7 linked regions of the Callithrix jacchus genome follow. The protein of the gene in region 3 binds, or shares a complex with, the protein of the main gene of each other region. Links are inferred from orthologs where the notes say so. Each region holds a gene or a part of one and is shown on either strand. Other genes may lie near its edges. The genes, in order: LSM3, LSM6, PRPF4, LSM2, LSM7, SNRNP200 and LSM8.

The links.
Region 1: PRPF4 (region 3) and LSM3 share a complex: the UniProt entries of both Homo sapiens proteins name them as parts of the precatalytic spliceosome. The link is inferred for Callithrix jacchus from reciprocal best matches to the Homo sapiens genes PRPF4 and LSM3.
Region 2: PRPF4 (region 3) and LSM6 share a complex: the UniProt entries of both Homo sapiens proteins name them as parts of the precatalytic spliceosome. The link is inferred for Callithrix jacchus from reciprocal best matches to the Homo sapiens genes PRPF4 and LSM6.
Region 4: PRPF4 (region 3) and LSM2 share a complex: the UniProt entries of both Homo sapiens proteins name them as parts of the precatalytic spliceosome. The link is inferred for Callithrix jacchus from reciprocal best matches to the Homo sapiens genes PRPF4 and LSM2.
Region 5: PRPF4 (region 3) and LSM7 share a complex: the UniProt entries of both Homo sapiens proteins name them as parts of the precatalytic spliceosome. The link is inferred for Callithrix jacchus from reciprocal best matches to the Homo sapiens genes PRPF4 and LSM7.
Region 6: PRPF4 (region 3) and SNRNP200 share a complex: the UniProt entries of both Homo sapiens proteins name them as parts of the U4/U6-U5 tri-snRNP complex. The link is inferred for Callithrix jacchus from reciprocal best matches to the Homo sapiens genes PRPF4 and SNRNP200.
Region 7: PRPF4 (region 3) and LSM8 share a complex: the UniProt entries of both Homo sapiens proteins name them as parts of the precatalytic spliceosome. The link is inferred for Callithrix jacchus from reciprocal best matches to the Homo sapiens genes PRPF4 and LSM8.

Annotation. Positions count from the first base shown.
Region 1 is NC_133516.1:71,157,568-71,161,748, forward strand, and holds the start of LSM3 (U6 snRNA-associated Sm-like protein LSm3), read left to right. Parts: upstream 1-1,381; 5' UTR 1,382-1,422; coding exon 1,423-1,443; intron 1,444-4,181. Other genes in the region: XPC (DNA repair protein complementing XP-C cells), read right to left, coding at 1,029-1,131. UniProt on the Homo sapiens protein: Plays a role in pre-mRNA splicing as component of the U4/U6-U5 tri-snRNP complex that is involved in spliceosome assembly, and as component of the precatalytic spliceosome (spliceosome B complex).
Region 2 is NC_133504.1:50,820,501-50,824,684, reverse strand, and holds the start of LSM6 (U6 snRNA-associated Sm-like protein LSm6), read left to right. Parts: upstream 1-1,384; 5' UTR 1,385-2,017; intron 2,018-4,184. UniProt on the Homo sapiens protein: Plays a role in pre-mRNA splicing as component of the U4/U6-U5 tri-snRNP complex that is involved in spliceosome assembly, and as component of the precatalytic spliceosome (spliceosome B complex).
Region 3 is NC_133502.1:161,587,893-161,592,041, reverse strand, and holds the start of PRPF4 (U4/U6 small nuclear ribonucleoprotein Prp4), read right to left. Parts: upstream 2,801-4,149; 5' UTR 2,712-2,800; coding exon 2,685-2,711; intron 1,911-2,684; coding exon 1,730-1,910; intron 1-1,729. UniProt on the Homo sapiens protein: Plays a role in pre-mRNA splicing as component of the U4/U6-U5 tri-snRNP complex that is involved in spliceosome assembly, and as component of the precatalytic spliceosome (spliceosome B complex).
Region 4 is NC_133505.1:39,306,746-39,310,887, reverse strand, and holds the start of LSM2 (U6 snRNA-associated Sm-like protein LSm2), read left to right. Parts: upstream 1-1,342; 5' UTR 1,343-1,442; coding exon 1,443-1,445; exon of another isoform or gene 1,446-1,577; intron 1,578-2,046; coding exon 2,047-2,114; intron 2,115-4,142. UniProt on the Homo sapiens protein: Plays a role in pre-mRNA splicing as component of the U4/U6-U5 tri-snRNP complex that is involved in spliceosome assembly, and as component of the precatalytic spliceosome (spliceosome B complex).
Region 5 is NC_133523.1:2,193,180-2,197,468, reverse strand, and holds the start of LSM7 (U6 snRNA-associated Sm-like protein LSm7), read left to right. Parts: upstream 1-1,489; 5' UTR 1,490-1,493; coding exon 1,494-1,583; intron 1,584-1,665; coding exon 1,666-1,756; intron 1,757-4,289. Other genes in the region: SPPL2B (signal peptide peptidase-like 2B), read right to left, coding at 1,360-1,425. UniProt on the Homo sapiens protein: Plays a role in pre-mRNA splicing as component of the U4/U6-U5 tri-snRNP complex that is involved in spliceosome assembly, and as component of the precatalytic spliceosome (spliceosome B complex).
Region 6 is NC_133515.1:6,142,603-6,146,102, forward strand, and holds part of SNRNP200 (U5 small nuclear ribonucleoprotein 200 kDa helicase), read right to left. Parts: intron 2,619-3,500; coding exon 2,520-2,618; intron 2,157-2,519; coding exon 2,004-2,156; intron 1,892-2,003; coding exon 1,792-1,891; intron 1,608-1,791; coding exon 1,471-1,607; intron 909-1,470; coding exon 825-908; intron 725-824; coding exon 551-724; intron 1-550. UniProt on the Homo sapiens protein: Catalyzes the ATP-dependent unwinding of U4/U6 RNA duplices, an essential step in the assembly of a catalytically active spliceosome. Plays a role in pre-mRNA splicing as a core component of precatalytic, catalytic and postcatalytic spliceosomal complexes.
Region 7 is NC_133512.1:88,804,829-88,808,328, reverse strand, and holds part of LSM8 (LSM8 homolog, U6 small nuclear RNA associated), read right to left. Parts: intron 3,143-3,500; coding exon 3,102-3,142; intron 563-3,101; coding exon 435-562; intron 1-434. UniProt on the Homo sapiens protein: Plays a role in pre-mRNA splicing as component of the U4/U6-U5 tri-snRNP complex that is involved in spliceosome assembly, and as component of the precatalytic spliceosome (spliceosome B complex).

The sequences.
Region 1 (4,181 bases), on a different chromosome or scaffold from region 3:
GGGAGGAGGGGTCACTCTAGGCAGAAGGAACATCAAAGGAAAAGACTCAAGAAATAACTTGGCATATTTGAGGAAGAGAAAGGAGGCCAATAAGGTGGGTATCTGGCAAGGAAACAAGTGGTAGGAGAAACAGGAGAGGTAGCAAGAGCCAAAACATGTAGCATCTTGCAGGCCAGGTTAAGCCAACTGGATTTTAAGCTAAGAGCAATGGGAAGCCAAGGAGAGTTTAAAATAGGAACACGGCATGATTAAAAAAAGAAAAAAAAGATTATTTGGGTTGCTGGATGGAGAACTGGGAGGCCAATAAAGAGGAAACTGCAGTCACTCAACTGAAAGGTGATGGTGGCTTGGACAGGGGCCATGGCCATGGAAATGAAGTGGACAAATTTAAGATACAGTCCGAGGCTGAACTGACTGGATTTGCTGATGGACTGATGTGTGCACATAAGAAAAAGGCAGGCTTTGCTTTATAACAAGTACTGAGACTGGAAAAACGGAGGAAAGGATAGATTTAAAGGGGAAAACCATGAGCTCCGCTTTGCCTGTGACAAACATAAGAAGCCTATCCGATATTCACGTGGGGAAGTCAGGTGGGATCCCACTGTGGAACTCCGGGTGAGACTCCGCTTAAGTGACCATTCGGGAGTCACCACACTGCATCACTCTACGTCCTGGTCCGTCTGTCTGCCTTCCTGGGACCCAAATAACTGCCTTCTCCACTTTCAGCCCTGAGCATCTGCGCTGTATCCTCTGGGCAACCCGGAGCGGAAAAACGCTACGCATGAGCTTGGGTCGGGCGAGGCTCCCGAGGAATCGCTCTGCGTGCGGAGGACAAAGGGACAGGGACAGAGCGGAGGGCCGGACGCGGCCTGCCGAGCTGCTCCCGCGGCCGCCGTCACGTCCCCGCGGCGTGGAAGACGCGCAGTAAACTGCATCCTGTCTCCACGTCTGGCCTCCCACCCCAGCCTCCCGGCCTCCTCCGCCCTGCTGCGGCGTCTCCCGCTAAGCCCGCTGGGCCTCGCTCTCACCCTCCTCCTCCTCCTCACGCCGGGCCTTGCTCTTGCCCTTGGACTTCTGGCTGCGCGGTTGGCGTCCCCGCGGCTCCCCGCCGGCCGCGCGCTTCCGAGCCATGTTGTTCTTCGGGGCAAAATCCACTTCGTGAGTGACGCACCTGGCCGCTGTGCACCAGAGCGCGGGCTCCGCCCACAGGCGGGCGCGTCTAGCCCTGTCCCTTAGTTGGAGGCCTAGCCACGCCCCCGAAGGAAGCTCCGGCGATACCCGTGGCCACCAAAAACCACAGGAAGCAGGAAGGAGAAAAACAGATTTCTCTCTACTTCCGGTGTATTATATCCTCCTGTTTCCGGAGATCCGCGTTGCTCTTGTGTTCTCGCGAGAAGCGGGAAAGAGCGCAGGGTTTGAAACATGGCGGACGACGTAGACCAGGTGAGTGTACTTTAAGGGGGTCGCTTCGAGCAGCTTCGCGTACTAGGGCTGGTTTTCCCAAACTTAGGAAAAATGGCCAGTCGTGTCTCCTCCTTCCAGGTCACCATGGTCCAATCCGCCCCGTCCTTTCCGTAACCGCCCCCTGCTCCGAATTTTGCTGCAGGCCCTGAGATCTTTTCCGGTTAGAAGCCCACCTGACTACTATTCATCACACTCTTCAATTCATTTTTTTAAATCTGTAAATTATTATCCTTGCCTGCCTCACGGAGCTGTTAGGATTCCAATAGAAAGCCTGATGATGAAGTTAGAAGTTCATATCATTACTGAGCGCAACCATTATTTATTCATTTAGCATATTTAGTGAAATTCAGCTTTGTATGGTTAGACACTATTCTAAGGGCCAGGGACACTGACATCGACATAGAAGTGATCCCTGCCATTACTTGGAGCTTATATTCGTGAGGAGAACAGATAAAAGTAAATATAAATATGTAGGAGACATAGGAACTGTGATGTGATGTGAAGGAAACAAGGAACTAGTTTGCAGAATAACAGATGGCCCTAGAAGCTTTTTCACCTTGTCTTTCTCTTCCTCAAATATCTTTGGAGATCAAGCCACAAATTCTTAAGCTTTCTACTGAAATCTCACCTCCTCAGAGAGGACTTCTCCTGCGCCAGTAGCACACGCTTTACTCTTCTTACCCTGCTTCATTTTTCTTCAGAGCGCATTATTATTTCGTATTAAATATATGCATCTGTTTTTAATGTATAACCCTTCCCACTAGAATTTAAGTGCCATAAGAGCAGGTTTTTTGTTTTGTTCTTTCTTCTGTCCTTAGGGTTTAGAACAGTGCTGGAAACACTCAACAAATATTTACTTAATGAGGCCTCTTTGAAAAGTCAATATTTAAAGCTACAGTGGGCATCGTAGACAGAGGCTTAGGTAGCAGTAGGGTTCTGTCGTGTGCATATTTTGACAGTATTTAATTATTTATTTGTATGCCTCTCCACATTACAATGAGCTCCTTGAGAGTGGAGATTGTGACTTCTATATCGTTATAATCTAACAGTTGGTTATCTGATCCTTTAACAAACACCTGTTGAACTAGGGAAGTAGGGATCAGTCGAGTCAGGGTTTTGTTTTTTCTCTCATCTGACCTTTTGAAGCTTTAGAGCCTGTTGCATTCAGTCACCTTCCTCCACTGGCCTCATGTACTTAATGAAGATCTACTTGAATAGTCTTTCTCTTAATGGCTGCAACCATTCGACCCCAAGTCATCCTAGCCCTGACCTCTAAAACCGACGTTTCCAGCAGTTCTTTAATAATACTAATAGGAACCATTTCTTTTCTTTTTCCTTTTTTTTTTTTTTGGACAGAATCTCACTCTGTCATCCAGGCTGGAGTGCAGTGGCACAATAGATCTCAGCTCACAGCAACTTCCACCTCCTCAAGCGATTCTCCTATCTCAGCCTCCCGAGTAGTTGGGACTACAGGCGCGTGCCACCATGCCTGGCTAATTTTTCTGGTTTTTTTTTTTTTTTTTTTTTTTTTTTGAGACGGAGTTTCGCTCTTGTTACCCAGGCTGGAGTGCAATGGCGCGATCTCAGCTCACCGCAACCTCCGCCTCCTGGGATCAGGCAATTCTCCTGCCTCAGCCTCCCGAGTAGCTGGGAATACAGGCACGCGCCACCATGCCTGTAAGTTTTTGTATTTTTAGTAGAGACGGGGTTTCACCATGTTGACCAGAATGGTCTCAATCTCTTGACCTCGTGATCCACCCGCCTCGGCCTCCCAAAGTGCTGGGATTACAGGCGTGAGCCACCGCTCCCGGCCAATTTTTCTGTTTTTAGTAGAGATGGGGTTTCGCCATGTTGGCCAGGCTGGTCTCAACTCCTGACCTCAGGTGATCCGCCTGTCTCAGCCTCCCAAAGTACTGGGATTCAGGCGTGAGCCACCATGCCCAGCCAGTAGGAACCGTTTATTACTATTTTCTGTTTACCTGGCACTGTTGTAAATACATTAACTACTTTAAACTTCTCAAGAACCCAGAAGGAAGGTTGTGGCCTCCTCAATTACAAATGAAGAATCAGAATTACAGATGGCATGATTTTTAATCTTAGTTCATTAGAGTCAGGTCACAGCCAGGAGTTGAACCCAGACTGCCTGACTCCAAAACCAGTGCTTTCTTTTTTCAAGACAGAGTCTCACTCTGTTGCCAAAGCTGGAGTGCAGTAGCACGATCTTGGCTCACTGCAACCTCCGACTCCTAGGCTCAAGCCATCCTCCCCCCTCAGCCTCTGAATAGCTGGGACCACAGGCATGTGCCACTGTGCCTGGCTAAGCCAGTGCTTTCAACCAGCGTTTTATACTGTCTACTAAATATATTCATCTTACTGGCCAGTTGGCAGCCTAAACTCAACCTGTGCTAAATTCATAATCTTCCCATTAACCTACACCTCTACTTAGCATTCTGACTAGTGTATGGTAGACATTGAGTGAGTGTTTTTCCAACGATTACATAATATTTGAGATAAAGCTAAAGTCCCTGAGAGCCCATACCCTGAAATTGGGTCAGGCAGTTTGATTTTGAGGGAACAAAGAATAGTCATGATTATTTTGCTGTGTAACTCCTTTTTGTGTATGTGTGTTTTAACCTACATTTATGTAGCACATATTATATGAAAGGCACTGTTCTAAGCCGTCATAGATATCACTTAAGCCTCACAACAACAGTATT
Region 2 (4,184 bases), on a different chromosome or scaffold from region 3:
CCACCCCGTATGTCAAGCCGGCCCCATACCCAGCTACTCCCTTTGGAGAAGATTGCAGCTGCTCCTCAGATGAACGAGGCCTTTAAACTCCTCATGGCTCCCTACCCACCACACCAGTGTTAATCGCTCCATCAGGGGTCTGTAGGAAAGGGAAAGAAATTTGAATCAAAAACTTACTGTTTTTTGAATAATTGAAACAACCAGTAGGGAGTGTGCAATTTGATGTCTTTTGCAAAGAATGTTTTTAGGGACAGGGCTTTTTATCCTATCATGTTTGTTCTTTGCAACTAATTATTTAATTTTAATGGCACTTTTCTTAAAATTTTTATTTACATTATATTTTATATTGCAAGAACTTCAAATACAGCCCTCTTAATAAGTCTGTAACGGTTTTGTCTTTACCCAAACTGAGCTTTTGTAGAAGGATATAAGGAAGTCTCTATTCTTTACCAAATCACATCCAGTTGCTTTCTGTCCCTGATACCAAGGGTTCATTTCTTCTGCCTTTAGCCAAAAGAGGGATACAAGGGAGAAACTCTTTATCTTAGAAAAACATTCTGCATCTTAGATTTTATAACACTTAATGGAGTTAAGGATCTGTGTTGGAAGATCTTATCACTTTGTGTATAGTGTTACAAATCATAAATAAAATAAAGTATAAGTTTTCAGCTGATGAAAGTATGTGACAGGGAAAAAGGAACCAAGTCCTGGTGTGACTGTTCTCTTCTTTTTCCTCTCCAATCCTATTAATAGCAAGAGTATTGAGAATTCATGCAAAATTCCAAACCAAGTTCCCACAGGTAGCACTTAGCTAATGTCTGCACACCATTTTCAATTGGAACTAGTTTATAATGTAACACAATTAACGTCATTATAATTCGGAGTTACTTGAGTGGTTTTAATTATTTTCGTATCAATTAACATTGCCATGGAAACAGTCTCTTGCTAAAATGGCTTAAGTCTTCACACATTTAATCAATATCCAGAGGCAGATTTAAAGACTTGAGGTGTTTGTTTTATTTATTTGTTTGCTTTAAACTATTCAAGGACGTTTCTGGGTACACACGGCAGTTACTTAAAACTGTAAATTCCAGTTTTCTATGACTTCAAGTTATTTTTTACACTGCAAATAAATCCTGCCCAAAAGATCACTTCTAGCTTTCTGGATTTTTGTTTTTGTTTTGTATTGAATTGTATTTGTGTTGTATCCGGATTTCTGTTAGAGGAATTCCTTTGCACCAATTTCGCCACTGGACAAACCAACCAGGATTCTTGGATTTGAGCGCTTTGGCGCGGACCGGCCTTTTCGGCCCCAGCGGGCTGCCGTAGCAGAGAAGAACACTGATTGGCTGAGGCAGAAAAGTACCGCTGCCTCGCCGGTTTCGGTTTCGATTCGATGAAGTCCGCGGAGCCCGGGCTCTTGGGGCACCTGTAGTGAGGATTTTGGATCCCGCCGACGAGGTGAGCCGCGTGGCTGCGCGAGCCGAGCAGCCTCGGAAACGGCCTGCGGGGAGCGGGCTGGGGCTCCGGGGAGGGACTGCTGGGTGGTGGGTCCCCGCGAAATGCCGCTTCCAAGCTCTGTGTGCACGTAATGGCCGGGAGTGATCTGTTGGTGGGCGCCTGGAACCGCCGTCAGCGAGGCGTCTACACTGCGCCGAGAGGAGCGGCACCGTCCCGGCTGGCGTCGATTTGGCGTTCGAGACTGCACGAAGTTGTTCGGAGGTTATCGAAATTCCCCAAGGGAACCCCAGCGCTAATCCCAGGATTCGGCGGGAAAGCGGATCCCGAATCTAGGCCTAGGCTTTGCCTGGATTCTTCCAGGCTTCAGAGAATTGCGAAGCCTACCCTACATCGGAGTGGCTGCGCCTAACCACAGGAATTAAGGACTGGACTAACCTGAATTACCGAGTTGTCTAGTCGGGGAACCCCTTGTATGGTCTTAAGTCCTATCGCCAGAGGTTTTCTATGTGTCCGCGTTTGTGCCCCGGCGCGTGAATAGCGGGCATTTTTGTTTAAGGTGTGTAGGATTAGGATGATTGGAATTACCCCACCCTACTGCTCTTAGTAATACGTGACTGTTGTAGAAAAATTGCAAACATAGAAGACTTTAGTGAAGAAAATAATATTCGCTGAACCCTTTCACCTGCCATCTTTTTCTCCTGTATGTACCAGCGTCTACTTGGACTAGGACTGTTCATGTTTAATTACTTAACAGTGTAGTTTTCCAGTTCCATTTAAAAACTCTTCCTAAATATTATTCTAATTTTGTATCTTCTTTTGAGTGGCTGGCCCATCATTGTGGATCCCAGTGTAGGTCCCATAAATTATTCAGTCATTTCCCGACTGTGGGACATTTGGTTGTTTTTGAATTTTTGCATCATCTTAGCATCCCAGATCATATTTTGATAAACATTTCCCCCCCATCCTGTAGATTATTTCCTTGGACTAGATTCTCAGAAGTGAAATTATCAGATAGATGCTGTCATCCATAAGGTCTTTAGGCTTTCATGCACATTGCTGCAGTGTTTTCCAAAAAAGTTTTAGAGGTGGTTGGCAGTTTTACTTGCTTGAATATTGTGCAGAAATCTTGAGAGGCTTATGTCTGTAGTGTGTATCACTGGAGTTAACTGCAGTAGACTGCCTGAATGTTAGAGCAGGAAGAGACCTAAGTGGTCATCTAGCAAAGCCCCCTTATTTTGCAGATGAGGAACCTGGGGCCATGAGAGGTGAGATGAGTTATCCAAGTCACACAGCCAATTAAGTAGCAGAGCTGGGATTAGAACTGAGGTTTCCTGCCTCCCAAGTGAGTACTCTGTGCTGCATCAGGCAGCCTCTCACTGAACTGTGGCATAGTAGATATTAGAATTTAAAAATATGTTTACATCACTTGGATTATTCTCTTTTTTAAAAGTGTACTAACAGATTTTAATCATCAGAGGGATCTTTAGTACTGAAAAATTGTAAAGTGATCATTTTCATGGCCAAGGCTAGAAATCCGTTATTTAGAATGGCAACCCCTTCAAGGCTTTGACAGTTGTTTTCAGATTCTCTATATGTTAGAATAAAAAAAAAATCCCTGATAAATTATAATCTACACTCCATCATTTGGTTAGATGTAGGTGTTGGTTCTCATTTGCTATATTTGGGAGATTTCTTTAAAACTCCTCACTTTAAGGCCAAAGAACAATGTTGCTGGTTTTTAAATTTTTTTTATTTTAGGGCTTATAGCAGAGATTCTCAACTTCCATGGACTTTTTGGCCTGGACGCATTTGTTGTGGAGGGCCGTCCTGTGCATTGTAAAATGTTTAGCAGCATCCCTGGTCTGTACTCACTAGTATAGTAGTAGCACCACCTTCCTCAGTCATGAGAGTTCATGGTGTCCCCAGATATTTCCAGCTGTCCCTGAGCATGGTGGGGGAGGACAGGGGGGATTGCCCCTAGTTGAGAACCATTTGCTTATAGAAATTATCTGGAGAACTTTATAATGTAATGTATAGTGCCTTTGCCTCAGTAGATTCAGGAATTTGCATTTTAACAAGCATCTCTAGATTTGGATACAGCTGGTTCTTGAATGACAGAAACAGTTGTTTTCTCCGTCTTTGGTGCTCATTATAGAGATTACTTGATTAGTATTTGTTGAAGTACACACTTGATATTACTAGTCACTGTACCCATAGTTTGGGCTGGTGGGGGCTGGACAGGAATTTTGCTTGACACTGGCTTTGAATGTCACTTCCACAGACTTGGACAGTATGCTTAGATACCAGGGTTACCAAGTGAGTGAGATATTTTCCCTGTCCCCAAGAAGCTTAAAATTCACTGTGGGAGATCAGTCAGCAAATGGAAACATTACAAAACGGCCTGATAAGGGCCACGACTGAGAGTGGAAAGAGGTGCTTTCAGTGGACTAACTTCGCCTTTGGAAGAGAGGGAGAGAAGAGGCCCCAGCTGCTCGGGAAGGAGGGATTGTCTTCAAAAGACAGCCCGGCTCTCCACTGTGTCAGAGGGAGGAATTTAGAGAGCTGTCCTCGGTGTCTGATTGCCTCGTCAGACACTGCTATCTTAGTATCACGCTGCAATTACTTGGGTTCTAATGTTGTTTCCTTGCAATTTTTGCTTTTCAATTTTTTCCACGCTAAACTGTTAAGTACTCTAGAGTAGGTAAAAACTTACAGGTAAACAT
Region 3 (4,149 bases):
TAAGAGTACAGAACATCTTTTGCAAATGAGTTATAGGCTGTCATCCAGAAGATGTAACAGAAACATTATTGTAACAGTGGCCAAAAATATTTATTCTCTAAAGCAGTCCCAGTATAGGAATACTTAACAAATAATTAACTAGTAAACTGGAAATAATTACACTGTAAATGAGTTTCACAACAATAAGGATTTCTGGATAATCTAGCAATAGTTTTGAAACCCACACCAAAATACAAGTGTGATAAAAAATGAGAGGTACAGTGGTGATGTTCTGTTTAAAAACAACATAAAAAGTTAAAAAAGTTGGCCAGGCGCGGTGACTCATGCCTGTAATCCCAGCACTTTGGGAGGCTAAGGTGGGCAGATCATGAGGTCTGGAGACAGAGATCATCCTGGCTAACATGGTGAAACCTTGTCTCTACTAAAAATACAAAAAGTTAGCTGGGCATGGTGGCACGTGCCTGTAGTCCTAGCTACTGGGGAGGCTGAGACAGGGGAATTGCTTGAATCAGGGAGACGGAGGTTGCAGTGAGCCGAGATTGTGTCACTGAACTCCAGCCTGGGTGACAGAGCAAGACCCCATCTCAAAAAAAAAAAAAAAAAAAAAAAAAGAGTTTAAAAAGTCATTAGGCTATAGTGCATGTGTTTAGAAAAGAAAATGTGTAAGAGGATCACTGAGAAACTTGATTGATGCCCTACTGCACAGGAGTCTTCACTTTATGCACTTTGGTATTGTCTGGATTTCTTATGACAAATAGGCATCATTGTATTTAAAATATATAGTGGACCTCACATTACTGACATGGAAAGATATCCTCAATGGTATATAAAATGAAAAATGCAGGTTATTCAACAATTTATATATATCATGTCTTCATTTAGAGAAAAAATTACCTATTTTTATATCTGTATTAAAATTCTCAGAGAGATATACAACCAATTAATTAAAATATACAGGATTTTCTACTTCACACACTCATATGTTGTTTCACCTATTAAAAGAAAAATAACAATTACTTTTTTTTTTGAGATAGGGTCTTGCTGTGTTATCCAGGCTGGAGTGCAGTGGCACAATCATGGCTCACTGCAGTCTCAACCTCCCACTTCAGAACCCCAATTGGCCGGGAACACACGCATGTGTCATGCCTGGCTAATTTTCTACTTTTTGTAGAGATGGGGTATCACTATTTGCCCAAGCTGGTGTTGAATTCCTGGGCTCAAGCCATCCTCCCACGTCTCAGCCTCCCAAAGTGCTGGAATTACAGGTGTGAGCCACTGGGCTTGGCCACGATTACTTTTATAACAAAAAAAGAGATCTCAGCCAGGTGTGATTGCTCACATCTCTAATACCAGCACTTTGGGAGGCCGAGGTGGGTGGATCATGAGGTCAGAAGTTGGAGACCAGACTGGGCAATATGGTGAAACCCCATCTCTACTCAAAATACAAAAATTAGCTGGGTGTGGTCGTGCATTCCTGTAATCCCAGCTACTCAGGAGGCTGAGGCAGGAGAACTGCTTGAATCAGGGAGACGGAGGTTGCAGGGAGACGGAGGTTGCAGCGAGCCGAGATCGCGACACTACTCCAGCCTGGGTGACAGGGCGAGACTCTAGCTCAAAAAAAAAAAAAAAGAATTGAAATTTTTTTACATTATAAAACTGGTGATATTTAAGTTTAGGAAGGTATTCATTACATCAAGAGGTAAAGATGAACTCACAACTTGCATCTTACCAGAGGTTATATTAATATTTCCAGCTTCGATTCCTGCTTTAAGTCCTTCTTTCCCCAAAATCCCAGATTCTCCTTTGGCCAGACGCTCCCTCTCCTTCTCTTCCAAACTTCCATAATAGATATGTGGCTTCTTCACAACCGGAGCAACTAAGTCATCAGGTGCTTTAGTTTTGGTTGCCTGCTAAATCAAAAATCTGACTTAAACTAACGCTTAATCTTAACAATTTGCTGGACTTCCCCAGAGGATGAAGCTCACCCTGAGTTTCACAGTCCTACTTCCTCTGTAATTGAAAGGACAAATTGGACACTGCTTAAGATGTTCTTCATTGATTTGAGGAGATGAGGGTAGGGGGAGGGTGTTTCAGTCCCTCACTTTGGTTGACAGGATTGATAAAACTAGTGAGGTTCTCTCGGGTATTTTTCTATCAAGGGTTTGCTCTGCAATCTGTTTACTTCATTCTGTTGGAAGTGTGCAATCTCGTGTTTTACGATGCTTCCAGGGTTACTGCTCATCACTGGGGAAGTACCAAATATAGATGAAATAACTAACGCGGTGCTAAAGAAGAACAAGTTACAAGATTACTAGCGTATATATTTCAAACGTTTCTAGACCTGAGGCAGTAGGAGTTAGTAGGTCTCATTAAAGTTCTGAGATCTGCCAAAGGCATCAATCTTGGCCAAGACACTTCCCTATTTCAGAGCACCGTTACTGGATCAGTCCGAAGAGATGTTTGCCCTTCAGGGATGTAGTCGGAGAGGTGCAAATAAGCTATAGTCCACGAAAGCGCTTAGGGATCAGGAAAACGGTGCTCGGCTGTCTAGGACACGGAGTCCCACAGCCTTCCTCCTCGGCCCTCCACCGCCTTCTCCCGTTCCCTAACGGCCCCTTCCCGCAAGGACCCCCTTCCCCCTTCGCGCTTCCTGCCAGAGTGAGCTGAGATCCCGGGCTCTGTACCGTGGAGGAAGCTCGCGAGGAAGCCATGCCGGGCTCTGGAGAAAAGCTACAGCGAAACCTGAGGTCTCCGATTCAGATCGTCCACCGCGCGCCCAGCAGAGCGGATGAGCATCACCGATCGGAAGTGCGTCACCGACCGGACGTGTGCCGAGAGCCGTAGCCGCGCCCGGAGCGGCGCGGAGCATGATGGAAGTCGTAGTAGGAAGCGGTGTGATCGTATTGAGGGGCATGCCTCCTAGAACATCGGAGAAAGCTCGCGCAAGACGAGATTCTGCTGAGAGAGAGGCTCCAAGTAGTCTGGGAAGTGTAGTCCAGTTGGCTTACCAATAGTTTCACTGGGGGAGCGGAGGTTCCGGGAAGGGGCTGAACAGGCTTGAAAAGAGGTAGGTGCGTTGCGTCGCGCGGCTCGGGGCTGAACTCTGGAGCGAGTCGAGGACTTCCGGGGTCCGCCGTGCCACCCGGGCCTACCGGAGCGTTTAAGTCTTCCTGGAGCTGAAGACCTTGTTACCATGGAAATCCTCGCCAGGGATCCGAGGTACAGGCTTGGAGCTAGGGGACAAGGGCTGTTTTTCTCCACAATCCGGAAGTCTTCTTAGGGGCCCCCTCTGAGCTTGATGGCTCCGCGGTGGATTTAGGCTGCTAGAAGAGCTCCCTAGTGCCAAAGTCAAATAAAGACCCGGCGGAAGAGCTTCGGCCTGACTTTGTTGATTTGTCTAGAGCCGGTCGTTGTATCAGATTGAGAGTAAGATGATGGATAGGAAGGTGTCAGATAGCTCTGTACGTCCCTGTGCCCTGCTGGATGCTGGGGAATTAGAGACAAACAAGGTAAGTTTTTTTTTTTCTTTTGAGACGGAGTCTTACTGTCGCTCAGTCTGGGAGCGCAGTGGCGCGATCTCGGCTCACTGCAACCTTCGGTCCACCCCGACCCCGGGTCAAGCGATTCTCCTGCCTCAGCCTCCCGATTAGGTGGGATTACCGCCACCGGCCACCGCGCCCGGCTAATTTTTGTATTTTTAGTAGAGACGGAGTTTCACCATCTTGGCCAGAGTGATCTTAAACTCCTGACCTCGCGATCCACCCGTCTCGGCCTCCCAAAGTGCTGGGATTACAGGAGCGAGCCACCACACCCGGCCAGGATAAGGCTTTTATCTCCACGTGGGAGGTGGATGATTCTCAAAACATTGAGGTTTCCCTAGCTGGCCAGATCCCCATCCAACCCCCTAGAAAAATTACAGTAATAATAGATTTTATTTATTGCACATTTTTAAAATGCCAAGTTATGTTCCAAGAGCTTACTCTTTACTCTGCATTATATTATTCACCAACAATAGCAGAGTCAGATACAGATGAGGAAACTAAGGTCTAGTGAGAGATGAAACTAATTATTCAAGATCAGTGGTGTAGTGGGATTAACCTCTACAGCCACACTATTAACTGTTACTCTATACTTCTTCCTAGTGGAGAG
Region 4 (4,142 bases), on a different chromosome or scaffold from region 3:
AGAGACAGGTTTTCACCATTTTGGCCAGGCTGCTCTTGAACTTCTGACCTCATAATCCACCCGCCTCGGCCTCTCAAAAGTACTGGGATTACTTACAGGCGTGAGCCACCGCCTCTGGCCCTTTTTTCTTTTTTTCAACTTAATTTAAGATTCAAAACACTTATATGAAAAAATGCTCATCGTCACTGGTCATCAGAGAGATGCAAATCAAAACCACATTGAGATACCATCTCACGCCAGTTAGAATGGCGATCATTAAAAAATCTGGAGACAACAGATGCTGGAGAGGATGTGGAGAAAAAGGAACACTTTTACACTGTTGGTGGGAGTGTAAATTAGTTCAACCATTGTGGAAGACAGTGTGGCGATTCCTCAAGGATCTAGAAATAGAAATTCCATTTGACCCAGCAATCCCATTACTGGGTATATATCCAAAGGACTATAAATCGTTCTACTCTAAGGACACATGTACATGAATGTTCATTGCAGCACTGTTTACAATAGCAAAGACCTGGAATCAACCCAAATGCCCATTGATAATAGACTGGATTGGAAAAATGTGGCACATATACACCATGGAATATTATGCAGCAATCAGAAATTATGAGTTTGTGTCGTTTGAATCTGGAGAACATCATCCTCAGCAAACAGACACAAGAACAGAAAATGAAACACCGCATATTCTCACTCATAGGCGGGTGATGAAAAATGAGAACACATGGACACAGAAAGGGGAGTACTAAACACTGGGGTCTATTGGGGGGAAAAGGGTAGGGCCAGTGGGAGGGGGAGGTGGGGAGGGATAGCCTGGGGAGAAATGCCAAATGTGGATGAAGGGGAGAAGGAAAGCAAAGCACACTGCCATGTGTGTACCTACGCAACTGTCTTGCATGTTCTGCTCATGTACCTTAAAACCTAAAATCCAATAAAAAATTAAAAAAAAAAAAAGATTCAAAACTTTTACATTTTATGGTTTTAACCAATATAGAAAAGTGCATACTTCATAATCTTCACAAACTCCCCACAATTCTCGATTAGGAGTGTGTGTAAATCAGGAGGACTTGACGCTATGGACGACAGGATCCTGGAAAAGAACAGTATCCTTTGAGTTGAGGAGCTGAGTCCCGCCACCCGCCCAGCAGCCCAGGCCCGGGTCCGCGCGTGCGCAATGGGAGCCGGCCAGCCCGGGAGGAAGTCGGAATGCAGGAACCCCGCCCCTTTCCCGGCTTCCTCCTCCCTTCGGTTCTACCCAGAGTGCTCTCCCCAGCCACAAGTCGGCCGCGCTCTCCCCTTCAGTGCTTGGAGCTGTCTACGTCCTTTCACGCTGCGCCTGCGCGGCCCCGCCTCGCCCCACGCGCGGGCTCCCGCTTCGGTTTCCCCAGACCTGCTGGCGGCAGCCTGATCTTTTCCCGGTCCGGCCCGCTGCCCGCGGCGCCAAAACCATGGTGGGTACTGTGAAGTCAAAAGGTGGTGCCCTCGGGGAGCTCGGACGGTTGGGGCGGGGAGTCTGGCCTTTGTCCCCCTGGGCTGGAGTTTTAGGTCCTTAGTCTTGTGCCTCAAGTTCGTTGAGGAGATACCTGAAAGCAAATGGGAATTTTTTTTTTTTCCATGGGAGGTTAAAAAAACTCAACCCTGAGAGAGAGTCAATGGGGACAGCGGGAGACAGAAAAGTTAGACCTTAGAGCACTTAATCTGCCGGAGACCAAGCAGGCTTCCGGCGGGTGGGGGTGGGATATTTTCTGCAGTTCATTGAAAGGAGTGGGCAGGGACCCCAGGAAGGTGGCCGACTGAGAGAGCACACTTGGGCCGACGTATGCAGGGCAGAGCCTCTCTGGAACTTTAAGTGATGGGCTCAATGCAGTGTGTGGAATAATATAGGCTCCAGCCTTTCACCTCTGTCAGCCGATTATTCTTTCCTGTGAAGTTTTGAGAACTGTCAGAGATGCAGTGGGGTTCACAATACCAGTGTTTGGTAATACTGGCAAGGGACACTCCTCCCTACCATGTTCCTTCCCACATGATGGTTTTCCCCCTCTCACCCAATAGCTCTTCTATTCTTTTTTCAAGTCCCTTGTGGGCAAGGATGTGGTCGTGGAACTCAAGAATGACCTGAGGTAGGTACCTGTTCCAACAAGTCTGTTGGGGGTGGGTGTGCCCAACGCCCTGGAACCTCTTTAATTTGAGAACTATTTGAAGGCTGGGAGAGGTGGAAGATATAAGGAAGAAATAAATGGGTAGGGCTCAGTGGCTCAGTACTGTAATTCCAGCACTTTGGGAGGCTGAGGAGGGAGGATCGCTTGAGCCCAGGAGTTTGAGGCTGCAGTGAGCAATGATTACTCCATTGCACTCTAGCCCAGGCAATAGAGCAAGACCCCATCTCTAAGAAAAATTTAAAAATAAGTGCCTTGTGCCTTAAATTTACAGATAAGCTTGGGATTATGCTGTGTATTGGAAAACAATACAAAGCATTATATAGTTTAAAGAGTAAGTACTAGTAGCCAGGCTCCCTGGCTCTCGGGTTGGGCGAGGTGACTCATACCTGTAAGCCCAGCCTTTGGGAGGCCGTGATGGGTGGTCACCACGAGGTCAGGAGTTCAAGACCAGCCAGACCAAGATGGTGAAACCCTGTCTCTACTAAAAATGCAAAAATAAGCCAGGTGTGGTGTCAGGCGCCTGTGATTCCAGCTACTCAGGAGACTGAGGCAGGAGAATCGCTTGAACCTAGGTGGCAGAGATGGCGGTGAGCTGAGATTGTGCCACTGCACTCCAGCCTGGATGATAGAGTGAGACTCCATCTGGGAAAAAAAAAAAAAAGTAAATACTAGGCTGGTCATGGTGGCTCACACCTGTAACCTCAGTGCTTTGGGAGGCTGAGATAGGAAGATCACTTGAGTCCAGGAGTTTGAGACTAGCCTGGGCAACATAGTGAGACCTCTATTTCTACAAAAAATTTAAAAATTAGCCAGGTGTAGTGATGCATGTCTGTAGTCCCAGTTATTAGGGACTAATCCCAGCCTGAGGTGGGATGATCACTTGAACCCAGGAAGTCGAGGCTACAGCAAGCCATGATTATACCACTTTACTCCAGCCTGGGTGACAGAGGGAGACTGTGTCTCAAAAAAGAACAGGCCATAGGATGGGCATGGTGCACAGTGGCTTACACTTGTAATCCTAGCACTTTGGGAGGCTGAGGTGGGAGGATCACGAGGTCAAGAGATCTAGATCATTCTGGCCTATATAGTGAAACCTTGTCTCTACTAAAAATACAAAAATTAGCTGGGCGTGGTGGCCCGCACCTGTAGTCCCAGTTACTAGGGAGGCAGAAGCAGGAGAATCATTTGAACCCGGGAGGTGGAGGTTGCAGTGAGCCAAGATTGCACCACTGCACTCCAGCCTGGCGACAGAGTGAGACTCCCATCTCAAAACAAAAAAAGAACAGGCCATAAACAGCAAATGTTATTTCTACAAAATGAGAAGCACCCATTAGGAAGAATATAGACTCTCTGATAGAAGGTTCTACGGGGCTAGAAGGACAGGGAGAAGTCTCTCAAAAATACAGCATTTAGTCTAAGTCCTGAAATAAGATTAAAATAAAAGATACAAGTGGGAGGAGATTTAAAAGCAGTGCAGGCATTAGTTTTCTGTTTATCCTTTATTTTTTTTATTTTTATTTTTTTTGAGACAAGAGTCTGACTCTGTTGCCCAGGCTGGAGTGCAGTAACACTACTCTTATCGGCTCACTGCAACCTCAGCCTCCCGAGTTCAAGTGATTCTCTTGTCTCAGCCTCCCCGAGTAGGTAGGATTATAGCTGCCTGCCACAATGCCCAGTTAATTTTTGTATTTTTTGTAGAGATGAGGTTTCACCATGTTGGCCAGGCTTGTCACAAACTCCAGACCCCAAATGATCCACCCGCCTCATCACCCCTAAGTGCTGGGATTACAGGCATGAGCCACCTTGCACGGCCCAGACACTGGGTTTTAAATACTTGAGAATTTTTTTTTTTTTTTTGAGACGGAGTTTCGTTCTTGTTACCCAGGCTGGAGTGCAATGACATTATCTCGGCTCACCACAACCTCCACCTCCTGGGTTCAGGCAATTCTGCTGCCTCAGCCTCCTGAGTAGCTGGGATTATAGGCACGC
Region 5 (4,289 bases), on a different chromosome or scaffold from region 3:
CTGGGAGGTGGAGGTTGCACTGAGCTGAGATGGCACCACTGCACTCCAGCCTGGGCGACAGAGCAAGACTCCCTCTCAAAACACACACACACACACACACACACACACACACACCTGCTTTGGAAAACCCTTTCCAGGCAAACTCCAGGAGGGAACCTTCCTTCCACCTCTGGTTCTTCCCTCCTTCCAAACGTCTGGGGAGTTGTAGGTCCCTGGCTGCAAAATGGGGGGACGTCCAGGGGGCCGAAAGAGCAGCAGGGGGTGGGGTTGTTAGAAAGCTTCTGCGGAGGGCTTCCAGGGTAAGAGAAACGGCCAGGGAGCCCACTGCAGGCTTCTGATAGCCAGGTCACAAATGCACGGACACACTCATCTGGATGTGACAGGGTCACTCCTGCTGTGTCGAGGCTGGACTGGGGACATGGGGGACAAAGGCAGCCACAGCAGGGGGAGGACGGCGGAGCTGGAGGAGTGGGGCTGAGAGAGCGCCGGTGGCAGCGACGCCTTAAGAGTGAGAACTCGGAGAGAGGAGTCAAGGTTAAGGGCCGCATTTGTAGGGCTGCGCTCCTAAAGTCAGGAGAGAGGGAAGATTTGGAAATAAGAAAATAAAAAACGCAGTTAGGGCAGTGCTATCTCGTAGACTGTCCCCACGAGAACCTGAGATGCTTTGCAGCAAACGACACACGATTAACATAACGAGGGCGTGCTGGCCCTGGGCGCTGGTCACCCTGGGCATCATCTCCAGAATCCACACCATCCTCAGCCTTCCTGCGGACGAGCAGCTGACGCTCCAAGCAGGGGATTCCCTTGTCCAAGGTCACAGACTAAAAGATGGAGCAGGGATGCAGCCCCAGAGCAGGGCTGGGCTCTTGGCCACTCCAGGGCGCTGCCAGACACTCGGGGACGCGCGGGACGCCTCTGGGTTCCCCACGGCACCCCCTAGGGTGAGGCTAGCCAGCACCCCGCCCGTTCCGCCTACGGGGAAACTGAGGCTCGGCGCGGGGTGGGCAGCCGCCTGCCCAAGGCCACAGAGCCAGAGACAGGCGACCCCGGCGGCGGCTGGAGACCCCGAAGAGGACAAGCAGAACGGAGGGATGGAGTGGGCACAAGCTTCAGACCCGGTAGGAAGTGAGGGGCGCTGCGGCGGCGCAGGGCCTCCGAGGCAGGGACGGGAGACGAGCCGGGGACAGCCCCGCAAGGTCACGGCCAGGCCCCGGCACCGCCGGCCAACGGCGCGGTGACCGCGGATCCCCGAGGCTGGAACCCCCGGAGACGACCTGGGTCGTTCCTGGGCGTAGCCCGGGGGCCGAGAGGCCCAGAAGCCGTAGCCTGCGGGGCCGTCGGAACCAACGCCGCGCTCACCTGGGCCGCGAGGAGCAGAAAGGGCGCCACAAGCCGCGCCAGCGCAGCCGCCGTCGCCGCCGCCATGTCGGCCGGTGCCCACCGCAACCGTCGACAGATGTTTCCCAGCAACGCCGCGAGACCCCGGGCCACGCATGCGCCGCGCATGCGCCTGCGAAGCCGGGAGGGGGTCAAAGGGCGCGGGGTGGCGCCTGCGCAGAGCGGCGCGGCGCGGCAAGATGGCGGTGAGCGCGCGGCGGGATCCGGAGCTGGGGGCGTGGGGCTCGGGCCGCGCTGCGCGCCTCACGCGCTCTGCTTTCCCCGCAGGATAAGGAGAAGAAGAAAAAGGAGAGCATCTTGGACTTGTCCAAGTACATCGACAAGACGATCCGGGTGAAGTTCCAGGGAGGCCGCGAAGGTGAGGAGGCTCCCGCCGTCGGCACCTCGCCTTTAAAATTCTGAAATAAACCCAGGAAGAGCGATGATGAGGACGCATGCATGCGGAGGCGCCGCTTTTATTTATTCTTTTCTTTTTTTTTTTTTCTTTTTTTGAGACCGAGTCTCGGTCTGATGCCCAGGCTGGAGTGCAATGGCGCGATCTCGGCTCACTGCGACCACCGCCTCCCGGGTTCAAGCGATTCTCCTGCCTCGGCCTCCCGATTAGCTGGGATTACAGGCGCCGGCCACCACGCCCGGCTAATTTTTGTGTTTCTAGTAGAGACGGGGGTTTCACCATGTTGGCCAGCCTGGTCTCGAACTCCTGACCTTAATTGATTCTCCCTCCTCGGCCTCCCAAAGTACCGGGATTACAGGCGTGACCCACCGCGCCTGGCCTCGCAGGCCCCTCTTTAGACTACCTTATGCGGTATTCCTACTTACACCGGGAGGTAGGAACTGGTATGCCCATTTTGCATGCAAGGAAACTGAGGCACGGGGCGGGAAACAGACGGAACCCAAAGTCACAGTGGCATAGCAGGGATTGGGATTTCAGGGTTGGCCTTCTGAGCAGTCCTGTGTGTCCAAGGGCTGCCCCAGCTCCCCACAGATCTCCCGGCTTCTGTTTCTCCCCCACCCATGTCAAGATCTCTCCCGGCACCAACAGTGTGGACACATTTGGGGCCGGATCATTCTCTGGGTTGGGGCCGTACCTGGGCACTGCAGGGTGCTGAGCAGTATCCCTGGCCTCCACCAAGTCGCGACAACCTAAACAGCCTCAGACAGGGTGGGCGCAGTGGCCCACACCTGTAATCCCAGCACTTTGAGAGGCTGATGCAAGCAGATCAGGAGCTCAGGAGTTCGAGACAAGCCTGGCCAATACGGTGAAACCCTGTCTCTACTAAAAATACAAAAATTGGCTGGGTGTGGTGGTAGGCGCCTGTAATCCCAGCATTTTGGGAGGCTGAGGCGCCAGATCACTTGAGTTCAGGAGTTTGAGACCAGCCTGGCCAACATGGCAGAGCCCCGTCTCTACTAAAAACTCAAAAATCAACCAGGCATAGTGGCACATGCCTGTAGTCCCAGCCACTGGGGAGGCTGAGGCAGGAGAATCGCTTGCGCATGAGAGGCGGAGATCATGCCACTGCACTCCAACCAGGATGATAGAACTAGACTTTGTCTCCAAAAAAAAAAAAAAAAAAAAGCAGAAAGGTCTGGTTCCTGAAGGGCTCACCTGATGCCCTCAGGCCCACCCAGGCTGTTTCCCTCCAGATTGGCTTACAGTCTGCTGGTTCCCGGGCTTCAATCACAGCTGCAGAGTTCCTTGTCTTCCTCACGTCACCTGACTGCAAGAGTGACGTCTTGTCCAGTCAGTCACATGCCCCAGGGGTGGGGATTCCGAACCTAGCTCTCCAGGGGAGAGGAACCTTGGGTGCACCCACCTGCCTCGGTGCTCACGTCTGTCCCCTTGAGAGGGGACTCTGGTCAGGCCAGTGCTGGGCACCTGAACAGATGTGTCTGGCCCCATTGTGTAGGTGATGAGTTTCTTTTTTTTTTTTTTTGAGACGGAGTTTGTGCTCTTGTCACCCAGGCTGGAGTGCAATGGCGCGATCTCGGCTCACCGCAACCTCCGCCTCCTGGGTTCAGGCAATTCTCCTGCCTCAGCCTCCCGAGTAGCTGGGATTACAGGCACGCGCCACCATGCCCAGCTAATTTTTGTATTTTTAGTAGAGACGGGGTTTCACCATGTTGACCGGGATGGTCTCGATCTCTTGACCTCGTGATCCACCCGCCTCGGCCTCCCAAAGTGCTGGGATTACAGGCGTGAGCCACCGCCCCCGGTGGTGATGAGTTTCATTTTGCAGGAGAGGAACTTGAGAGCACAGAGAGCGAGCTGGGGAGGGGGGCCCAAGCCTGGGCAGTCAGACCTTCTCTGTAGGCAAAGGCTGGTCGGCAAATACCTTCAGCTTTGCATCCCAGATGGTCTCTGAAACCAGTGAGCTATGCGGGGAGAGCGGGAGACCTGCCGTGGTCAGCGCTGGAGCGGGAGCGGCGCGTGTGGTGCTGGGCCCTGGGACTTTCACTACGGGATGGGCAGCGGGCCAGGTTGGCCTGAGGGTCATGGTTTGCAGACCCTCACCCCGCACCCCTCCCTGCACATGGCTGCCCTGGGTGTGCGCGGAGCGGCCGTGGGCCAGCTCACTAGGCCCCGCCTTTCAGGCAGACAGAATAATGCCCAGGGTGCCTGCTTCCTGGGATTGGGGGATGGTACAGTGGGCAGCACCCTAAGAGGTGTGGGTGGGTTGGTGTCTGGAGAAAGCACCTGAGAGGTGGCAGGGGTGAGAAGTAGGGTGGGGCAGCCACTGGGAAGCCCCTCAGAGAGCGCAAAAGTGCATCCTCGGCAGGAGAGGCCTGGGCCGGAGGAGCCTGCAGGGGAGGGGTGAGGCGTCCCAGGCAGGGAGGATGGGCCAATCACCAGACACTGGGGAGCAGGATCAGATGGCAGAGGTCACTGC
Region 6 (3,500 bases), on a different chromosome or scaffold from region 3:
CTTGAGCAGATGTTTTTGTGGGATTGCCAGGATTTTGTTCCCAGGCAATCTCTTTGCATAACTCTCCATTAAAGGTCAGACCAAGGCCGGGCATGGTGGCTCAAGCCTGTAATCCCAGCACTTTGGGAGGCCGAGGCGGATGGATCACAAGGTCAAGAGATTGAGACCATCCTGGTCAACATGGTGAAACCCGGTCTCTACTAAAAATACAAAAAATGAGCTGGGCATGGTGGCGTGTGCCTGTAATCCCAGCTACTCAGTAGGCTGAGGCAGGAGAATTGCCTGAACCCATGAGGCGGAGGTTGTAGTGAGCCAAGATCACACCATTGCACTCCAGCCTGGGTAATGAGAGCGAAACTCCATCTCAAAAAAAAAAAAAAAAAAAGGTCAGACCAGATGTCAATTTTGTCACCCCAGGCTCAAAATCAGAATGGAAAAATTCTGTTGCAGCTTTCAGTCTTGAAATAAACTATATAAGAGACAAGGCTACATTCTGGTCAATGGTTGAAATCCAAACCAGGAAGTGAACTGAAGAAAGCAATGCACTTACTTCTTCTGAGCCAAAGGGCTTGGGCTTCAGGGCAGGCACATGCACTTCTTCATAGCCCTTACGCTGGCGACGGAAGGATCCATCAGGAAGCTGACAGCGTTTATTGGCCATAAAGTGGCTCCCTTGGGTAAAAACCAGGTCCTCCAAGTCCAGAACCTGTCGTGGAGCCAGTGCCTGGGAATGTGAAAGACAAAAATGCAAAGGAGGTGAGCAAGCTGAGCAAGTGAGTTTTCCATCCATCGAGATCTGGGAAATAAATCGCCCTGGATCCTACCTCTCCACCCTGGTCAAGATCCATGGTTTCCAGATCTGTGTCCATTCGAGACTGTCGCACTCGCTCTCTCCGAGACCTTTCCTCCTGTGGTGGAGAAAGATAAAAATCACAGAAACAATTCATCAGTATCATAGATTCTTGTCCTTTTCTGTCCCTGCTTAGCCATACTTGAGTCACAGGTGCTGACTAGTAAGTCTGCAAACAGAAAGACAACGCTTTACCTGGGGACCACCAGAGTGATCAAAGCAAACAAACACATTTAAAGGGACAATGCACAGTAAGATGTTGCCAGAAATAGACATTCTATAATTAAGAATTGAGGCTGCCCCTGAGGGGTAGAAACGTGGGTTCTGTTGAGCAAGCACATGTATTCTGTTACTCTATTTAGTAAACACCACGTGTTTACTGTGTAAATAAACAATAAAGGTCCTCTTGGTGCTGGTGAAAGACAGCAGCAGATCACTGCTCTCACAACCAAACCAACTGAGGATATGCTGATTTTAACGTGTATGTACTGATAAACCCCAAATAATTTAGAAAAATCACTTTTTCAACTTCCACTTTTAATACGAATTTAGCTTCATGCTGCAATCTTCTAGCCACTGTTAGCTGAGAAATCAGACAGATAAACCAACCCAATCCTTACTCGGATCAGATCCTCCTTCTCTGTTTCGTGAAGTTGGTAGAGGAACTTAGACAGCTCTGGGTCAGCTTCCATCTTTCCCATGATCCTTTCCTTTTCAGCTTCACTTTGTGCACTGGCCAGTAAGGTACAGTATAAAACTACCCGCAACAAAAGGAAGAAAGGAACAGTGAGGAGGAAGAAATGCAAAAATCAACCTTCATTCTTAAGGTAGAAGAAGAAAAATAAAAGAAACAAGCACAAAAGCTGTGAAAACAAGAATCTCTGTCTCACATATGCACACATATGTACCTACTCTGCAGGAAGAGCCGATCATATACTCACTCATCATCCTGTGCTGCCGCAGCACTTTAATGAAATCAAAGGTGTTGAAACCAAGCAGCAGTACCAGCTGGTTCTCACACTCCCGATCATCACTGGCCGTCTGCAGAGAGAAGGTAACACCACCATTAAGGACAAAGCCATCTGCCACTTCATACGCTGTCCCCATGTGCTAAGACATAGTAAACATACAACTATTGTTATCTTGGCCATACCTTCAAAATCTCCAGTACTTCATCTGCCTTCTTCTGTGACACGATGGCATCATCATAGAAACGACTGAGCTGCCGCTGTAGCCAAAATGCATCAATATCCCGAGGGTGCAAATCCTTCTTCTTGGAACTCATCAGTTCACCTGAGGCTACGAGCTATATAAGTAAGTAGGCATTTAGCTCACTAAGTCTCTGCCAGCCTCGATCACTTTCCCACCACCCTGCATCCAAGTTCTTCTTGCCACCCTACAAGCCCACCTTCTTTTGAGGACTTTCCAGAAGGAAACACTCTGGAATATTGAGTTCAGAAGCACATCAGACCAAGATTTTATCAACATACATATTTGGGAAGGAAGAAAACCAACTGAAATCTTAAGAAACTCTAGACATTGTTTATTACACGTCAGTCTAGCAAAAGGTGGCTCAATAAATGCAATAGGACCCAAGCATGAAGCAGAAGTACTAACACTCAGAAGTAACCTGGCCTTGCAGCAATAAGAAAGAGCAAATTGAACTTACATTAGCTGAGAGGGTGCAGCGTACAACAGCCTCGTCCCCTTCCATGTCATCATCAGATGCCTCCTCTCGGACCTCCCCGTACACATCTTCATCACCTTCCTGTGGAAATGGCCCCAACTCAACCATGATCTGGAGCTGATTCTGCATCACCACAGAACCTCTCCTTCAAGTTACCCTAAATTAGCTCGATAGTTAGAGAAATGGCTTTGGGGTGAAACCAAGAGCCTACTGGAACCAAGGTCAGCCTTATCCCAGTGGACACACAATAGAATGGCTGCTTGGCACAGACTTATTAGATGCATCTACTTTCTATTTCTTACCTTAGGCTGCTACAATGGCAATCAAATGGATCATAGCCTCTCTCTGACACACACAATCAATACTCAAAACCAGCAAATAACTAACGAGAGAGAAGAGCTCTACAGAGGCATGCCTGGGAAAGCAGATGGTGACTAGGAATGAAGAGACCACACTTAGCCCGCTCACCACTCTATTCACTCATATGCTGCAGTAGGCATATTTGGCACAGTGTCACAGTCAAAGCAGGTACTTCAATAATGAGCACTGTTACATGAATGAACTGCTAAATGCAAAGCAGTTCGGTGCTACTTAAAATCCTCAAATCCTATTAACTACACTGTAGGAAGAGGCCTAGCAATCACCTAATGAAATCGCCTCATTTTATAGAAGGAGAAACTGAGGCAAGACGACCTGCCAAGATATAGGACTAAAATTCAGAAGTCTTGGCTCCTAGTCCAGTGCTTTCCTCTGACTCTCCCTGTGCGATCCCTTCTTCCAGCCCTGGTATATAGTCCAGGCTTCATTTTCTCTTTCAGGAGCCAAATCTACCGAGAACTCCAAGGCACTCCGTAATGTTTTCAAAGCACCCCACTTATTCCTATTTAGTTATATTCAAGAAATTCTATTAGACGGTAGGTATTAACCCCAGTGACTTAAACAACCATGTATGGGCTGGGCGTG
Region 7 (3,500 bases), on a different chromosome or scaffold from region 3:
AATTGTTCAAATGAAAGATTTCATAAACATTTTTCAAACTTTTGCCTTGGACTCTAGAAATATGTTCCTCTAAAATTCTGGGTATTTTTAAGAACATTTTAAGAAACCTCTTTAATGAAGTATTTAATATAAGGCAGGGCCCTTTCTGGACTCTATCCAGGCTACTTATTTAACTAGTGGAAAAATGGGCAAATCTCAGGTAAATGTTTGATTTGTAGAGATAGCTTTGGTTGAAACCTGAAGAAATGTTGACATAAAATGTATAGATTTGCCTTACTTTATGCAAATATAAGAAAAGCCATATTTATAAAAGAAATGAATGCAAGATTCTATTAACTATGTATAGATAATACAGTAGACTATTCTGGGTAAAACCTCTTCTCCATAAATCAAGGGAGTATCATTTATAATTTTAACAGATATATTTTACTTACACATTGTCACCTCTTACAATGTATAATCCTAGTACTACTTGCTCTACTCCCTGTGAAGAGCTGAATACTCGTTCATGGCTTTCATCCAAAATCAAATTAATGGTCTGGTCAAAACCTTTTAGTGTTCCCTGTAAAGAAAATATCCAGGAGAAAAAGAGAAATATTCTGGTTTACCTGAAAGTGTAAATTCAACCTCACAATCATTTTAGTTATTAGTTACTCCAATATAAGTACCTATACAATGTCAAATAAAATGCCTTTTTTATAACTAACAGTATTCGAGGATACAAAATTGACCCCTTGGCTGTTTGGCTGGGGTGGAGGGATCTGCACCACACATCTCACTCATTTGCAGAGCTGATGACAGTTACAAAGGACACCTAGGTACTAGTGTATTTCCAAGTAAGTAGCATAAAAGCTCATGTAGTCCGACAGCCAAAGGTATATACTAAAACAAAGGAGATTTAAAATAAAATGATAGGTAACTCTATATAAATAAGGAAGAATCATACATACCAACTACAGTAATGTAACAGTATCACTGTATACTACATACTAGCACTAGGTATTGTGCTAGACACATTGTACATATTGTCGCAACTCATCTCTACCCTTTAATACTATAATTATTCCCATTTCAAAGAAGAAACTGAGGCACAGAGTGGTGTCTCTTATGGTCACATGGGCAGTAAGTAGCAGAGCCAGGAGATGAACCACGAAAGGCTAGCTCCTGAGCCAGACCACTAAACCATTACCTTCTACTATTATACACAAGTAAATATAATTTGCCATTTTTCAGAGAATCAAATCAGTCCCATAAATACATAAAAAATTTAACTAGTAGTTACGGGTAACACCTAATGAGTTCTTACTAGTTACCAGAGTTCTGTGTGTCTCACAGGTATTATTTAATGCATAACAAATACATTTATTATTTAATTCTCCCAGTAGATACAAATGTGACTAAACTAATTAGAACAAGAATTTGAAGGAAATAATCAGGGAAGGTTTTATGAAAGCTTAGTTTTGAATAAAAAAAGACATGGGTCTAGCACAACAGATTAACTCAGATGGTATCCAAGTTTCTGAAGAAGTATCAACTAACATTGATTTTAATTGGTTAAATCTCTCAAGCTACTAAACTTTTATCTTCTGAAAACCAAAATATATAAAATGAGAATGAAATAAAAAGAAAACTATAATTTGGAAGAGAAAATATGAAGTCTTTCTTGAACTATTTAACAAATGGTTATCATAAACACCCATTCATAACCTCCTGGCTTCATTTTACACATAACTATCCCATCAAATAAACTATGTGTCAAAGAAAAAAGAACTATTGAACTTTAGAACTTAAGATGCTCTTTTTATATTGCTTTCCTTTTTTAAAATTAAAAATGATTTCCCAGTTTATTATCTACTATGTTAACAAAAATTAGAAAATTTAAAGTTAAGGTTTTCACAAAATTAAAAAAATTGAAAATATCTATTAATAGCAATAGGCTTCTTGAAGTGTTGCGATTAAAATATGTCAAACTGTCCGTATTTGAAAAAATACAATGTGAGGCACCTAAGAAAACATGATTTTAACAGATATAATTTTAAGAAAGAAGCCAGGCAATTTGCCTTGGCTTTGATGTCAAACCAAATTTAAATCCCAGTTCAGTTCTGTCACCTGCTATCCTTGTGACTCTGGGAAAGTATCTCACCTTCTCTGAGCTTGTTTCCTAATCTAGAATAGAGGGGTACTTATTCTTCACAAGGTTGTGCTGTACATTAAATAATGTAGCACATATGCACCTGGCACATGATATAAATTTAGTAAATGACAAAGCTAGAACCTTGACTATTAACAGTCACTAAGGACCCACTGAGGGGAAAAAATCGCAAGGCTTAAAAAGAAAATGAACAAAAACAAAATTGCAGAATGGAAAAATAGGGGATTAAATTATTTAAGAAACTAGGTAAGGTTAGAAAACAGAGAAAGTTTAGTAGCCTTAAAATTCTTTCAAAAGAATTAAGTGTATTAATTGTAAGTGAAGAAATAAGCAAGCACCCAAATATCTTGAGATAAATTCCTCAAATGAAATTCCAAATACAAGTATTGCCATAGGAATGTTTTATCTTTGTTAGATGACATAAATTAGCAAGGGAGAAACAACTTTAAGAAACAAGCCAATTGAACATATATATGTGTATATAGAGAGTCAATCATCAAGTGTCCTATAGAAGACATGTCATACAACCTAAAAGCAAACAGTATTAAGATTGCATACAAGCCTTAAACGTTGATAGGTAGGTATCAATAGTATCTAAATCACAAAAAAGTTCCTAAATGTATGCAAAATTTCAAAAAATTCTGATTCATGTAGTACTGAATGGGGAAGAAAATAAAAATGGAAGAGGGAGATAAGTAGGTTTAATACATGTCTGCAGACTAGGAGCTCTCTGATGGCAGAATCTATTATTCTAGCTCCTAGAAGCCTTGTAGGTAAGACACAAGGTTTACTAAGGAAAATGTGGATTGACAGCAAAGTGATAGTTAAATAATAAAACTGCACTACCAGTGTAATGTGGCGTCTAGGCATTAGAGATCAGAGGTTTCACATAAAACCTGCAACCCATAAACGTACAGGAAAGCAGAGAATGAAAATTTGGAAGACTTACCACAATCATTCTCCCGTCAGATGTAATAACAGCAACAGTTCCTGATAACTGAATCAAGGAAAGTGTTTCTTAGGGAATACAATCTGAAAACAGACTCTGGCAAGGTAATGATTTGAATTATTAGAAGATATACAACAATTAGGTAAAAGTGATCAACATAGCCACTAAGTTCACTACATAAAAACGTTACAAGTTTTTGGGACGCCAAGGCAGGAAGATCCAAGATGACTGGTCGCTAACAGCTCAGGATTGTAGCTCCCAGTGAAAGCACGGAGAATGAGAGGACACCACACTTTCAGATGAATTTTCGTCACTCACGGACCAGAAGATTCCCAGTGAAGGAGCCCTACGGGTCGCCAGCGTGACTCTTGTGGCCGGCGCAGCAGTTTTGCCGGCGCC